2 linked regions of the Schizosaccharomyces pombe genome follow. Changing the gene in region 2 together with the main gene of any one other region gives a genetic interaction. Each region holds a gene or a part of one and is shown on either strand. Other genes may lie near its edges.

The links.
Region 1: of cdr2 (region 2) and cut12, changing one suppresses a phenotype caused by changing the other (phenotypic suppression), as found in Schizosaccharomyces pombe (one study listed by BioGRID).

Annotation. Positions count from the first base shown.
Region 1 is NC_003423.3:538,170-544,697, reverse strand, and holds cut12 (protein Cut12), read right to left. Parts: upstream 3,543-6,528; 5' UTR 3,416-3,542; coding exon 3,409-3,415; exon of another isoform or gene 3,367-3,408; coding exon 1,727-3,366; 3' UTR 1,530-1,726; downstream 1-1,529. Other genes in the region: GTP-binding protein Gtp1, read right to left, coding at 1-806, 860-1,030, 1,146-1,214, 1,260-1,277; tail anchored plasma membrane protein Uvi15, read right to left, coding at 4,738-4,783, 4,994-5,175, 5,245-5,280. UniProt on the Schizosaccharomyces pombe protein: Required for bipolar spindle formation. May act as a regulator of the p34cdc2/cyclin B kinase. Required for full activation of the plo1 kinase.
Region 2 is NC_003424.3:1,361,308-1,369,602, reverse strand, and holds cdr2 (serine/threonine protein kinase Cdr2), read right to left. Parts: upstream 4,808-8,295; 5' UTR 4,758-4,807; coding exon 2,430-4,757; 3' UTR 1,635-2,429; downstream 1-1,634. Other genes in the region: cyclophilin family peptidyl-prolyl cis-trans isomerase Cyp1, read right to left, coding at 494-658, 699-795, 878-957, 1,162-1,215, 1,281-1,322, 1,363-1,392; cyclin Pas1, read right to left, coding at 5,797-7,032. UniProt on the Schizosaccharomyces pombe protein: Acts as a mitotic inducer. In G2 it negatively regulates wee1, a mitotic inhibitor. Also has a role in cytokinesis where it required for proper septum formation.

The DNA.
Region 1 (6,528 bases), on a different chromosome or scaffold from region 2:
CCTTCTTCAACTCTATGATTTAAACCAACAACCTGGGGACTATGTTTTGCAGAAGTACCCCATACAAGTGCATATTTTAATTGTTCAGCCAATGTTCTGTGAATCCTATTACAGACTTGCTCGATTGTTGATCCCTTGCGCACAATCAGGGCTTCAGAGAAGTCGGGCATTTCTCCTTTCCGTTTAGTATATATTCTGTAGAGATTGAGTTCTTCCCAAATGCGCTCTTTAAGAAAGTCAAGATTCAGCTTCATATTACAGCTAATAACGACAGACTTTGGTAAACGAGCAAGTCGGTCCACTTCTTCCAACGAAACGGCATCAATCTTACTATAACAATACAGACAATTGATATATCGCCGATTTCCCATAACAAGATCAATAAAGTCATCCACGGTGATGTCTTCACGAATTAGGATATCTGCATTGTGGATTCTGTATTCATGTAAAATATTGTATGCCATTTTGTAATCCATATGAGTTAGAGGAACAGTGTGATTAAATTTAATGCCCCCATTTTTTTTTATGGTAAGGGTCACATTTGGTGGTTGTCGATTTAAACGAATGCCAACTTGTTCAAGTTCATACTCAATTTTTTCTCGCTGATCGGCAGCTTTTGTAGCATCCAAAACCATTAAAATTAAATCAGCTGTGCGTGCAGCAGATACTGCTTGGCGGCCACCTCTTCCCTGAGAGGCACCTTCAATGATACCTGGAAGATCTAACATTTGAATTTCTGCTCCATCGTATTCGAGTACACCTGGAATAGCCGTTAAAGTAGTGAATTCATAAGATGCAGTCGCCGACTATATTACCATTGTTAGTAAAAAAATAAAGTATTTAAAAAGAAATAGCAAACCTTCGTTTTCGTAATAGCAGACAGCAAAGTAGATTTACCAACAGATGGAAATCCAATAAATGCAACTCTAGCATCACCACTTTTCAAAACATCGAAGCCCTCCCCCTTTGGCCCCGATTTTGAAGTAGGTTCAAGTAATTGAGCCCTCAGCTTGGCGAGTTTTCCTTTCAACTAAAGGACTAGGTTAGTTTAATTTAGAGTTGATTCTTTATAAGTTGGAACAACATTGTAATATTTGCTATAAAATAAAAGGCATTCCAGTTAGAAATGAATTAAAAAAACTTACCAAACCAAGATGGTACTCCGTCGCCTTATTTTTTTGCGTCCGGCGCATTTCAGCTTCAATCTCTTGAATCTAGCCAATTTAGATTAGTATATAACGGCAGATATTTTTATTTACTTTTTCTAAGACACCCATTTTCCCATTTAATAACCTATCGTAGTGTGGTAATATGAAATTGTTGCTACTTTCAAGTTTTTACTGCGTATGGCCTAAGACAAGATTCAAATGGAGGTTGAGGAGATGGAATTCTTCCAGTCAGCTTACGATCTAAATGTACAGCTGAATGTTTTTCTAGTAAAATACTGCATGAAAAGATGAAATTAAATTACAATATCCACGACTAATACGGCCTTTTACAAGCCTCTTATAATGAATCCATCATTTATACTAAAAATTAGTAATTTGAGTTAATATTAATAATGGACTTATATTTTATTTAATTCTCGAAAGGAATATAGTTAATTTTCAATACTTGATGCACACACCTTTCCTCAACAAAAATAAATGAAACTAAGGCTCCAGTCCTTTACTTAAAAAGGATATGCATTCTAATTATACAATATCGATCTAGTAAAATTATACCTTCAGGAATTCAACTGAAGTTCTTGAAGTTTCAACTTCCTTCGTCTTCTCCTTTCCTCTAATCTTTTCTTTGCATTCGCAGTACGTTGATTTGGACTCTTCAAATCATAATCCACGCGAGAACTAGTTGCAACTTTAACTTGTGGTTTTTCAACATCAGCACTTGTAGTTACGTTCGCTTTTGATTGGTATACTGACGTTGGATTTGTTTTTCCAAGGTTTGAGCTTAAAGAAGATAACACGTTTGGCGTCACTCTTGCTTTTGGCAATTGCTGCAAGGTAGTAGCAGAAGATAAGCTACCACCATCTTGTGGGAAACTAAGTTTCGACGGTAAGTGGGACTTCTTTGCTGCTATTGAAAATGGAGCAGGTGTAGGAGTTTGATTAGACTGCATTAAATTCATACGTACTTTGGAAGCTGCGGAAATAGGAGTTGATGAAATTATTCCTTCAGAAGGTATTAGGTTTGTCGTATGGGACTTTTTTGATGAATGAGTCAGCATTTGAGCTGCCAAATGCGACATATCTGCTCCCCGATGTAAATTCTTGGAAGGAACCTGTTCTTGAGGCTCACGCACATCAGATTGGGATGGCCTAGAAACAACTTTAGTAGTAATCGGACTTGGCTTAGCAGTATAAAGCTCCCTCATTTGGCTAAATCTATTTCCAACGAATTCCTTGCCTTTGTATTTTGACTGTTGTCCTTGATGATTATGGATTTTCTCCGTTTCTAAAGCTCGACAACGTTGTTTCCAAAAATTGATTTCCTCTTGTTTCTCTAAAATTAAGGATTCCAAACGCTCACGGATAGAGGTTAATTCTAACTCAAGATCCGAATGAGCAGAATCTAGCATACTAAACTTTTGCTTCCAGTATTTTCCTGAAGAGGAACGAGGCGCATCAAGGTTTATCGTATAGTCAGGTTCATCCAAGCTCTCAGAGGGAAAAGCTTGGGATGTGTCAATCATAACGTCTTTAATAATTTCCTTCATTTTTCGATTATTGTTCACAACATCTCGAAAGCAATCCTTCATTAAACTTGACCAGTCATTATTATTGTTACTATCCCATTTGAATTTAGAGATCTCGGCATCCATCGAGTGAGGATATTTTTTCTTTGAAGGGACATCTTCGCCTAATCTCTGATTGCTTTTTGTCTCATTTTTATAGGATTCATTGATATTAATATTATAGCGATTATCAAACTCGTCATGCTTACTTTTGTTTTCATTATCCGGATTATTAATATTCGGTTTTGGAGTACTCTGTAACAAAGGGGATTTGAATTCTTCATGACCCATTAAAGGATTCTCATCATCTAATCTCGTAAATAAGAAATTATTTTTCGTTGGACGATTCCACGTCGCAGCATCTTTTGAAATATCTTTGAAATTGACGGTCTTCTTTATTTGTAAAGTACCTGGAGTTTTCAAAATCCCATTTTGTGCTGCTTTACTTTTTAACGGAGTTAATGTCTCAGTTGGGCGCAGGTCTTCTTTTGCGTCTTGCGGAAGTTCTGCATCAGATTCTGCATCCTCAATGTAAGAGGACATTTTTGTAACAGGCTTCGTCACAGTTCCTGCTAATTTACTAGAAAATGCTTTCAAAACCCATGCATATGTTGGCGGAGTGTTCAAAGTTTCTAAATTTTGAGATTAGCTTTGTTTACATAGGAATTCCTTACCTGACATTCTATCGGATCTCTGAATTGTTCTGCATGTAAAAATATAATTAAAAATATAAATAATTTAAACGAATTTAACAAAATTATGTCCAAACAACCCAACTTTAACAATATTTCCCAATTCGGTGGTTTTCAACGTATGGCACAAACACAACAAACTAATAAAGAACCCGATCGCATGTTACATTGGACGTCCTCTCAGTACACTATTTTACACACTGCGTATCGTCATATTTCTTTTAATATGTGAACTCGTTATTGTATGTTAATAAACTTTGTGATATCGTGAACGGTCTTTTCGCTATATGGAGGAGGTAATTGAATAGGAAGTAGAGTATAGCTGCAATGAAATACATTTACTACTACGATTATAAATAATACTTATAGATGGGTAATTGATAAAGGATATTGAGTATTTGTAGATATAGCGCTCATTGCAATAAAAGTCATATGGCAATTTTTGTCTTAACGAGCTTGCGCATCCAAATTCATAGCATTTGAATCAAGGGGGGTCGCAATGGTTGAGCTTCATTTTCGTGAACAAGTTTGTCGTATTTCCACCATAGAAAAAGCACGCATCTATCTACCTGTTTGAAATAGTCAAAGCAAATCTTAGAAACTTTAAACTTTTTACGTAAGATATATGCCTCAATTTACTTTTAAAATCTTTTTAAAAAACAAATAAGGAATTCTTATACGTATCGATCAAAAACCGACTCTATCAAACTTAAACATATTGGGAAATCTAAAGAGTTCATCTACACTAAAAGAAAACAACAGCATACTAAACAGAATACACAACATATAACGAGCAGCAAAAAAGTAGACAAACCATAGAAAGGTTAGCTAAAAACGAAACACACATATTGCCCCTTCAGGGTAAGCAAGATAAATAAACATGCGAATTTTTTCAGGACGAGTCATTTCAACTAATCCAAACTAAAAATTATTCATAAAGAACGATTTAGACCAATGGATGCTGTAAAAGATTTTGCGCTTAAAAAATAGAAAAGACAGTCCATCATAAAACTAAAGGTTTTAATTTCGAAGAAAAGAAGCTGAAATTAAACGGTTGGGTAATAGCAATTTTCAAAAAGTGAGACGACACTCTGTACAGAAAAATCAAGATCTATAATTATTCGACCAACGCTTTACCAATGTAAATAAATAAATCCTCGCCATAAAGTTGTTTGCTGGCGAGGGAATTAATGAAAAAATAACCAACAATCATTAATTGCACTCAAGTCAGAAAATAAACACGGCTTTTAGTTTAATCAGTGGTGCATGCTCTCTTTCGAGAAAAGTAGAAAGAACAAGCCAAATAGTTTTTTAAAACATTGCATCCAAACAGCAACAGCAAGCAAGACCGGTCAATCTAAAAACAGTCGTTAGTAAAGAGAAAAAGGTAAAGCAAAACACAGTTCAACAGGGAACTATTCGAAAGGAACGCCAAAGCAACTTTAATCGACTGACGTAATGACCTAATTCAATAAAGAATACCCCATTCACCTTTCAAAATTAAGAGTGTGCTTCACCGTTCCAATGCAATTTCGACGTCTTCTACGCGCCCATTCTTTATACTTACAGACCACAGCAAAGATCGCCACCAGGATCACTGGCCTGAGGTTGCTGAACATACATAGGTTGCTGAGCAGGATATCCACCTTGAGGATAGCCTTGTGGAGGAGCATAACCTTGTTGAGGATAATTTTGTTGAGGAGGATAATAGTTTGGGCCTCCATAAGCTTGTTGAGGAGGAGCAGGGGCCTAAAATTGAAGCTGTTAGTAAAATCCTGAATAAATTGTTGCAACTGAGCTGCATAACAAATTCCATACATAGCCCTTATCACCATAAAACTGTTGAGCAGACATTTGACACCTTAAATAATTGGGTACAAAAACAAAACCAGTTGATGGTAGTTGGCAAGTTGTGAATCGGGCGCAGGCTTCTATGTGCGCGTCAGAGATCGAATGCATAGACAAAAAATTTATACAACAACAATAGAAGCATACTAATTTTAATGTTGTAAATAAATGGTTTATGTATTAAAATGTTTGTAAATGTATAAAATATATACTTTCCTTTTCTGCGGTGGAAAGTTCTTTTACCACATAAACTAAGCATCTTACGCAATATTCGCTGTAGGCTGTGCAAAGATAATCTGATGGTTAAAAACATGTTGGGTTGCCCAATATGAGTATATCGAACTGGCTTTAAAGTGCGTTATAGGTGTAAATAGCTATTGATTTGCTGCTGGCGTTTGCAAATGCAAGGTAAGTTTTTATTTTTTTTCAGTTGAGCTTTTAAATTTTTTGCTTTTCATTGTCACTTGATCATTCGAAATTTTTGTAGCGTAGCTTGACTGGAATGTTTGATCACTCAAATCTTTTACCGGTTGCTCATGAATACTACACATGCCTTAGTGTTGGATTGTATAAAGTTATAAAATAGTTTTTTTTCACCAGTGCTATTTTATAGCAAAAGCTTCTACATTCGAAGTGAACGGCAATATTAAATAGTTTCCGAGTATCGGAACAAGAGGTGTATTAGATCCACCATTAACCTTCTTTCCTCAGCATTGAAAGAAAGATCGAACTTAGGCCTATGCTTCGCTAGAATCATACGGTTTGCAAAAGAAGACTTGCATCGTCTTCACTATGAGCATGAAGGTTTCATGCTCAATATTTTTTTTTATGTTCACGACTAAAAACTTGCGAAATAGTTGAAATACCACAGTCAGACTACCGCCGATCATGACATCGGTTGCAGAAGTCAAGATTTTGATCTATCATCCTCACTAGATCACACTCGCTAATTTTAAGCTTAAATAGAGGGAAATTGTTTGAAGAAATGAGAGAGCAAGAACGAGAAATTGCCAAAAAGCTACTTAAAAACTTGCTGAGACGCTTTGAATGAACATTCGCTTTGAATTTTCTAACAGAAAGGAATGAGTATTTAATGTGAGAAACAGTTAAGAGGGATACTACCTTATAGGGCGATTAACGAAAATATGTAAAAGATGAGAAACTGTACTTGTAATTTCATTTCTCTTAATGTCCTGATTTATCACACCTTCAGGTCAAAAATAAAAGGTCTGTTTCCTGAAGAAGATCTGTTTA
Region 2 (8,295 bases):
TTTTTTTTAAAATAACATCCCACGTTGTAACAAAAAAACTGAAGCAATAGTATTTGAGTAATCTAGTCCAATAAACTCTTGTAGTTGTATATTTGGCCCGAGCTTTAATCTTCTAATTAAGAAAAAAATACAATTGTAAAATTTTTGATAAGGAGAAAAGTACCGGAAGCAATGCTAACGTTGTAAAAGGTTTTTGTTCAATCGTTTATGGTCAAACAACTAGGTTGATATGCGTAACAAAATCCATCTCCAATTTCTTAAGCTAGAAAACTAGTTAATTCCTTCTTAGAAGCTTATGTTATTCCACTTGACTTGTAAAATTTGACTTCAATTAAAAAGTCCACCTTTTGTAAGGAAATGCTTCTCTTTATCAACTATTAATTTAGCTTTTAATATCCGTGACAAATAACTTTAGTCAATATCTTCAGGATGTGTTGAAAAATCGAAAAAAGACTTATAGATTAAAACCTTTGAATATCCTTTAAAGAATAATTTAAAGTGCAACAGCTTTAATGATTTTTAAAGGTTCAATTGGGCGGTCAGATGAATCCGTTCGGATAAGACCCATACGCTTGCACACAGAAAGCCCGCTAACAACACGACCAAAAATTGTATGTTTTCCGTCTAACCAAGGAGTAGGTGCTAGAGTGATAAAAAACTGAAGATGGTTAAAGTTAGTGTAAACAAAGTCATCATACCTGTGATGAATTTGTGTTAGGTCCAGCATTGGCCATTGATAAAATGCCAGCTCCAGTGTGATGTAAATCGGAATGAATCTCATCGTCAAATTTATCCCTAATCAATTAATAAGAATGTGAAAACTTCGTAATAAAGATGCAAACAATCGGTGAATGCCGATTTATAAAGCTTTGCCTACCCATATATAGAAGTTCCACCTCGACCTGTACCTGTGGGATCCCCTCCTTGAATTACAAAGTCTGGAATAACTCTGTGAAACTAATTTAATTAGTACCAATTTCACGAATTAAATCAAATACGATATTGAATGAATTATAGGACACATATTTATATGACTGACTGAGTCCATCATGTAAATGTGAACAGTTAAATCAATAAAATAACACACTTGAAATATTAAATTGTAGACTCATATTTCAACATGCTTATTTGCACGATGCAAACAGTGCGAAAAAAACTTACAATAACACCATCATAGTATCCTTCTTTTGCTAAAGTATAGAAATTTTGACATGTCTATAAGTTAGCGATTCTACTTTCAAAGCAAACAACACTGTTCGTCCTTTATTCTTGATGCGTACTTTAGGAGCATGTTCTGTATACAATTCAATAAGAATTTTTCCCTAAAAAATGTTAAATGCTTGAGCTTGGAAAAGATCTTACCAAACTTGTTTGTAACTCTACATTAGCCATGGTATTTACTAGTTTTTACACGATTTTCTTGCAGTTTTTCGCTGCTTGTTCAAGTAATAAGTTGAAGTTGCAACCTCGCTAAAAATACTGAAAAGGCAATTGCACAGACAATTTTAAAAGTGCTTAATAATATGTCACGTACTTCATTCCAAAAAAACAGACTCTTTGTACAATGCAGATAACCTAGATATCCTACAACTTCAAATGTATTTCTTCAACTATCGAAGTAAGCAGGTTACATATTGAATTCCACTCAAATTTAATATCATACTAATTAGCATTGAGCGACCAAATACTTAATTGGAATAAATTTAATTTATACAGAACAAGCAGAAGGGTCATAAATTTCTAAACATAATACGACCTATGCTGCAGTTCATTGAAATTGTATCCGCTAGTGCTAGTTGATTGTGATAAATAAGATGAAGAAAAAGTCAAATCGATTGAAATAAACGAGACTAAAAAGATTGTGATTTAGAACGAAGAGTTAGAAAGCCAAAAGAAAAGATTGATTAAGATAAAAAATTTTATACCTAAATTAAATAAGAAAAATGTATTTCAAAAAAGATGCCAGCAATAGCCGGTCATACTAAATACAAAAATTACCTTGCTTCAGACATGCAAGTTATTATCATTGGAGTAAGTTCCAAGTACAACATCACATGTACAAAACTCAACAGGTTCCAAGAGAAACATTGTAGCAGAGCAGCAAAATATAATTTAATCATTAAATGCATTTATTGCTTCCCGGATAACCGTGGTTCCATATAGCAAGTTGAACAAGTAAAAGAAAAACATCAGAAAAAGAATGGAGGTCTATAAAGATATTGTTGGTGTATAAAAAGAGTTCCAATATGGGACAAAATGAAAGCTTAATTCAAAAAGTTCCAATACTTCCACGAGTATACATTATGTTCAATTATCAAACGATTAGCTTTTTTGATAATCCTTTTTTTTCCAAAGCATCACGAGAAAAATGAAGTTTGCAAAGGTTTTGGAGAATCAAAAAAAAATGATAATAATAATAATAAAAGAATTTAACTTTGGACGGATTGTCGTTGACGAAATACAGCAAAAGGACTACTACTTACACTCATTCGAGAAACAGGTCTGGATGCCGAAGCTTGAAAATAAGAGAGTTCCAAATTATCCAAAAACCCCTTATCTTCAAAAATCAGCTGGAATTCTGTAGCCAAATGGTCAAAAGTTGTAGAAGAACCGCTTTCCAACACAAAGACAGCTTGTGAACCAAAAAACTCAGCCAGTACCGATATTCTAAACCGAACCGGTTTAAGATTAAGTGAATTTTGTCGTTTAATACGAGCAGATATCGAAGCACTCACAGAATCATATATAATATCAGCAATGCCGATACCAAGAAGCTGCCATCTTCTAAGAACTTCTAAAATTTCATGTTCCAATTCTGAAGCAACCAAGCTGGCATAGACGCATTTACAAGAAGGCTCACTACTAAATAATCTCCTTAAAAATGATCGTTTTGGTTGAAAAGGTGAGCCGGAAAGCTTTTTCTTTGTAGAAGAAGGAGAGAATAACGATTGTCTTCTTCTATGTTTGGGAACATTCAACGAATCATAAGAGGCTGGTGATTGAGAGAGATCAGCACGCATTGATCTCTCCCCACTAGGGGTACGAAGACGACGAGAGTTGTTCATGGTTGCATTTGCGTATGGTTGATTATAGTTATTATTATCAATATTATTAGAGAATTGTTCATTTCCTACGTTGAAGCGAGTAACTCTTGGATTAAAAGCACTGCCGCGCGGGAAGCTTACGACTCGATTACCAGTGTGTTCGGACATTCTAGAAGTGACACGCTTTCTTGGAGGTCCCATACCTGTCGGGAAATTGGAAGCTGCTAAATTACCAACAATACTAGGGTCATTCTCATTCATACGAAAATCATTTGACATATCCAGTGAAGTAGCGCGACGACTTAGTTGAACTTCCGGATCGTTTATAGAAACGTTAAAGTTGCGAGGAGATAATGCAGAAGGAGGTCGGTAATTTGATGACAGCATTGAACTATCGTGGGGATATGCAAGTCCTGGGGTAACTGATTTTGGGAGTTGAGGAACAGCAGAAGATGTAGTGGCTGGTCGTTGAAGTATGGATTGGGGGTTGGTAGCATTAAAAGAGTAATTAAAAGTGCCAGAAGTGGTAACAGGTGTAAGAAATGGCGATGCAGAAGTAGCAGGTCGAGGAACAGACTCTGCAGCATAAGAAATTGGATAAGGCGCTAAAGTAGGAATATTGATAGCTTGTTCAATTTCTTCCTCGTCCATTTGCTGCCCGTTGGATGCTGCTGTACCAAGGAGATCATCGACCACAGCGCGGTTGCGATCAACTGCAGCGCTGGAAGGCGGATGCAAGTGTCTGCTCAGTAGAGTATATAGAGTTTTTTCAACCAAGGGTGATTGAGATGCCAATTTTTCATACAAGGGCATAGGATCATCGGAACATCTGAAAACTAAAGAGAGATGCTGCACTATTAATGGATCAATGGGTTGTATAGGGGCTGATATGATTGGAATAGAAATATTGGGATGAACAAAGCAACTAAGAAACGGGTGTTCACGAATTTGTTCCATGGTAATTCGAGTAGATGAATCAACATCAAGCATGCGGTACAACAGATGTTGGGCTTGAGGAGAGATATTTGATGGCATTTCAAATTGACCCTGACAGACTTTTAGCAACAAAGAACGAATGTTGTCATCATCAAACGGTAATTTCCCTGTTAACAAAGCAAAAAATATAATTCCACATGACCAAATATCGCTAGCACAACCATCATATGAACGCCCCATAATAATTTCTGGGGATGCGTAATGGGGAGACCCGCAGGAAGTCTGCAAAAGCTTTCCTGGCTGTTGAATAGACGCCATACCGAATTCACCGATTTTGATAGAACCATGGGCATCCAAGTATAAGTTCTCTGGCTTTAAATCCCGGTGGCAGATATGAAGTTTATGACAATACTCCAATCCACACAAAATCTGCCATAGAAACTTTGCCGTATCTTGCTCAGTAAAACTTCCTTTACGAAGCATGCAGTCAAAAAGCTCACCACCTGGCATATATTCGACTACGACAAAGAGTTGCTCCTGGGCTGAAATCACATCTATGAGCTGCAAAACATTAGGATGCTCGATCAATCGAAGCAAAACTAATTCACCCTCTATCCTAGCCTGTTGGCTCGAAGTAAGCTCGGACCATCCTACAATCGGTTTTACTACGGCTAATTGCCCAGTTTCACGATGTTTGGCTAAACGTGATGAATTTGGTCCTCCTGATCCTAAGGAAAGACCAAGCTCCCAAGGTCCAACTTCTGAAATTGTACTCATACACTTCAACTATTCAAAAGAACCAGTAAATCGGTGAAGTGGTGATGGCCAAATCCAAACCCCATTCATAGAACAGCATATGTGGGATGTTCTCCGTAATGCTCCCTAAACTTGTAAGCTATAGTATTTGAGTGCATTTAATTACAACAAAATATATATGTGAAATTGATTTTAACATTTGTAAAATTTTTAGTATATAATTTGTTGTTTTGTCTTAATCCTTCCTACTTGCAACTGTACTTTAGGGAAATATCAGTTAATTTTCGTGATGTTCAAGAAGATACGTATAATTATTAGTTTTTACAAAAATCGCTTACAATTAGTGTATTCAACATTGTTTTAAAGACCGTAATCAAAATTGGCTCTACTAGTAGTACGGTGTAGCAATTACTGCTTTTGTAAATGATCAAGATATTTTAGTTCAATGTTTCACAGTTTAATCGTTGAAAAAATATTACTTAGACAACTCTGTTAAAAAATGATTGAAAGGACTCTTAGAGCCTTCAAATAGGATTGGAGCTCAGTAGTAGATTTCAAATGGCTACATTCACCTGCCTAAAATATATAACTATCTTAATGAGCACATACATAATCTCTAAATAGTTTGACTATTTGACAAGTTTATGGCCATAAGAAATCAACAAAATTATCTTTTTTGAATACCTTGCTCTACTGATATCAATTTACAAGATGCATAAGTAAATATAGTTGCCAATCGTTAATTCATTCATACCATATATACATCGTTTTGCTATTAGAATGTTAAAAAAAGATTCATAGAAACGACAACAATATTTGATTTTTAATCAAAACATTGACAAGTCTAGATATGAAAAGAAGGTAGTAATATAAACCTAATCAAGTTTCCCATATCATGATTATCTTCCACACAATTTGAATAGATAAATCAATAGAAAGAAAACATTATCGGTATTTATTGACATCCGCTGTTAAAATGGCATCAGTATTATGAAATTATTCATTAAATATTATAGTTTTTGAAAGAAGCGGCGAAGACAGCGCAGATTGGGCTTGATAATTAAAAGTAACTGCGACGCTTAGCACTGTGTTCCGTTAAACATGAGTAGTCTTCTTCTAAATGCCTTTTTTGAGAACAAGGTTGAGGGAGGGACGCGACATATGCAGACGCTGTACCCAGATCACAACTCACAGATACGGCAAGTGGTAAGACGCTTGCAAAAGGCATATTAAATGTAACTGGACCAGTAGCATTGTTCAATTTTTGAGCATTATAGCAGTAAGCAACACCTCCATTGGACTTAGAAGTCATTGGCCGATATACTCCAACCTTTGGTGAAGAAGGAGTTGGTGGTAGACTAACTGGCTTAGAAAGGCTTGACAACCGACCCGGTAATACTTGAGGATTTACATAAACTTGCGGTTCCATAAGCGGTATTTGTTCGGGTGGCGAAGCAGTAGTCAAAGTGCGGGACTGATTTGAAGCCTGAATATGTGCTTTACAGACATTCATAGGAGCCAGTTGTTTGGCAATGGGTAAAACAGATGGAGTGGATGGAGGGGTACTGCCAACAGATACTGGAGTAGAAGGTGCCATCGTAAGAATAGGTGATGAGTCTTGAGTTGTTTGAGGAGAAGAGGAGGGCTTCCTCGTAGCCTGATTCTTCAAAGCAGCATTAGCATTCATTCTGCGATGTGCTATCTTCGTTAAACAGGCAATGGAAAAAAGATCATCTAGAGAAGATTGAACATTAGAAAACAAAGAGACCCAATATTGTGCGACGCTGCCAAATGAGGCAACATTAGGATCGGTGGAATCATAACGTGCAGTCGCGTGAGCACAACATTCACCAACTAAAAGAGACCATCTAGCAAAAATATGTTTAGGAACGACAAGACGATAATCGATGCATTGGTAAAACATATATTCCAAAACAAGTAATTTGTCAACTGGAAGTCCTGATAGGCGAGACCAAGCACGATTGCTAAAACTACGATCCTGTAAAAATTTTGTAGCGGCCATCAAGCAGACTAAGAAAAGACGACGCCCACATAACAGAGGAATGTAGTTAGTAGGCTTAGAAGAAGCAGCATCACGAAAACGGATGAAGTAATATAAAGCAAGAAGCAACGTAGTGTAATCGACACGACTTCTGCGAATCGTTTCATACAAAAACTGAGTAAGTGAAAGGGAGTGCGAATGTGATTGTTGATTTGTACTTTTAGCCAAGGGGTAGATAGAAAGAATCACGGTACTAAAGGACTCGAGCAAAGCTCGCATGTTAACTTTCGACATCGTGTAGAGAAATATCTAAGATGAAATTTTAAGCAGCTGTTGGAGAAAAATGAAAACTTTTAGCAAGCTTTTTCTCAAAGAGAAGAAAATACGAGTTTATGAAAGGGAAAAAAGCTAACAATGAAAGCTTTCGACGAAAATTTAGTAGAAAAGTAAAAATGGATGACAAAAATTGGAAGACGAACACAATGAGGAGAACGAGTAGATTGACTAAACAGTGCTCCTAACTGGAAAAAAACAGAAATCTCTAAAGGTATGCCATGTTGAAGACACGTACCCAAAATCAGTTAATATTATTATACAAGAAAAAGAAGCTTAGTAAGCCTAAAAAGTTGCAAAAATGAAGAGATAGATGTGTTGGCGAAAATAGTCATCCAAAGAAAGAGTGTAAGAAATAATAATGATTGCTTGAAATCGAATCTTCAAGCGCACAAAGTCGAATTTGAAGAAAGAAAATAAAGCAAAACCGAGATTTTGGGGACCAGGCAGATAAAAGGAAAACTTGAACTGTGTAAAAACCCAAAATAAGCTAGAAAGGAGAGATTGAAAAAATGAGAGGGAAACTACTTAACCAATCTCCTTAACGACGATAAAAGATGCAATCTCTAGAAGAATTTGTTGGCAGAAGAGAAAAACGAATGAAGCAAGGGATGGGATTCAACGATTGAAATATAAGCTAAGATGAATGCGGAAAATAAGCAAAGAAAACAGACCGACAGATAGATAAATAAATAATAAATAAATGTTTGAAATTACACGAAACCGTATGCGAAACCCAAAGTTAATCGACGAAACCAGCGACGGAGTTAGAAAACGTTAAAGCTACAGGGCGACAGCAGACGAATGAAACAAAGGAAAAGTAGATAAGCCTTTTCCCGAGAATTCAAAGAGGCGTGATATTGCAGTCAGCAGAGTAGTTGGAACAATGAAAAAAAGAATAGAAGAAAGAGAACACAAAGCACCTAAACCCAGACAAGCAAATAGAATAAAATAAAATAAAAAGAAAATGAAAAGTTATAATATATCGTGACAAAGAATTAAAGAAGAAGAAAAGAACCCTTCAGGTAGTAAAGGTCTAAGGTGAGAAAGATCCGTAGCGAATCAAATAGATTAGATTTATAATACAGCAGCACCGAATGGTAGGTTACGAGATTCTTCACAAAATGTTTAAAGGAAGGAAGAAAGAAACCAGCAGACTAATTATGTGTCAAGAGGAAGTAGGATTCGATGAACGATGAAAAAAAAAAGTAAAGAAGATGTTAA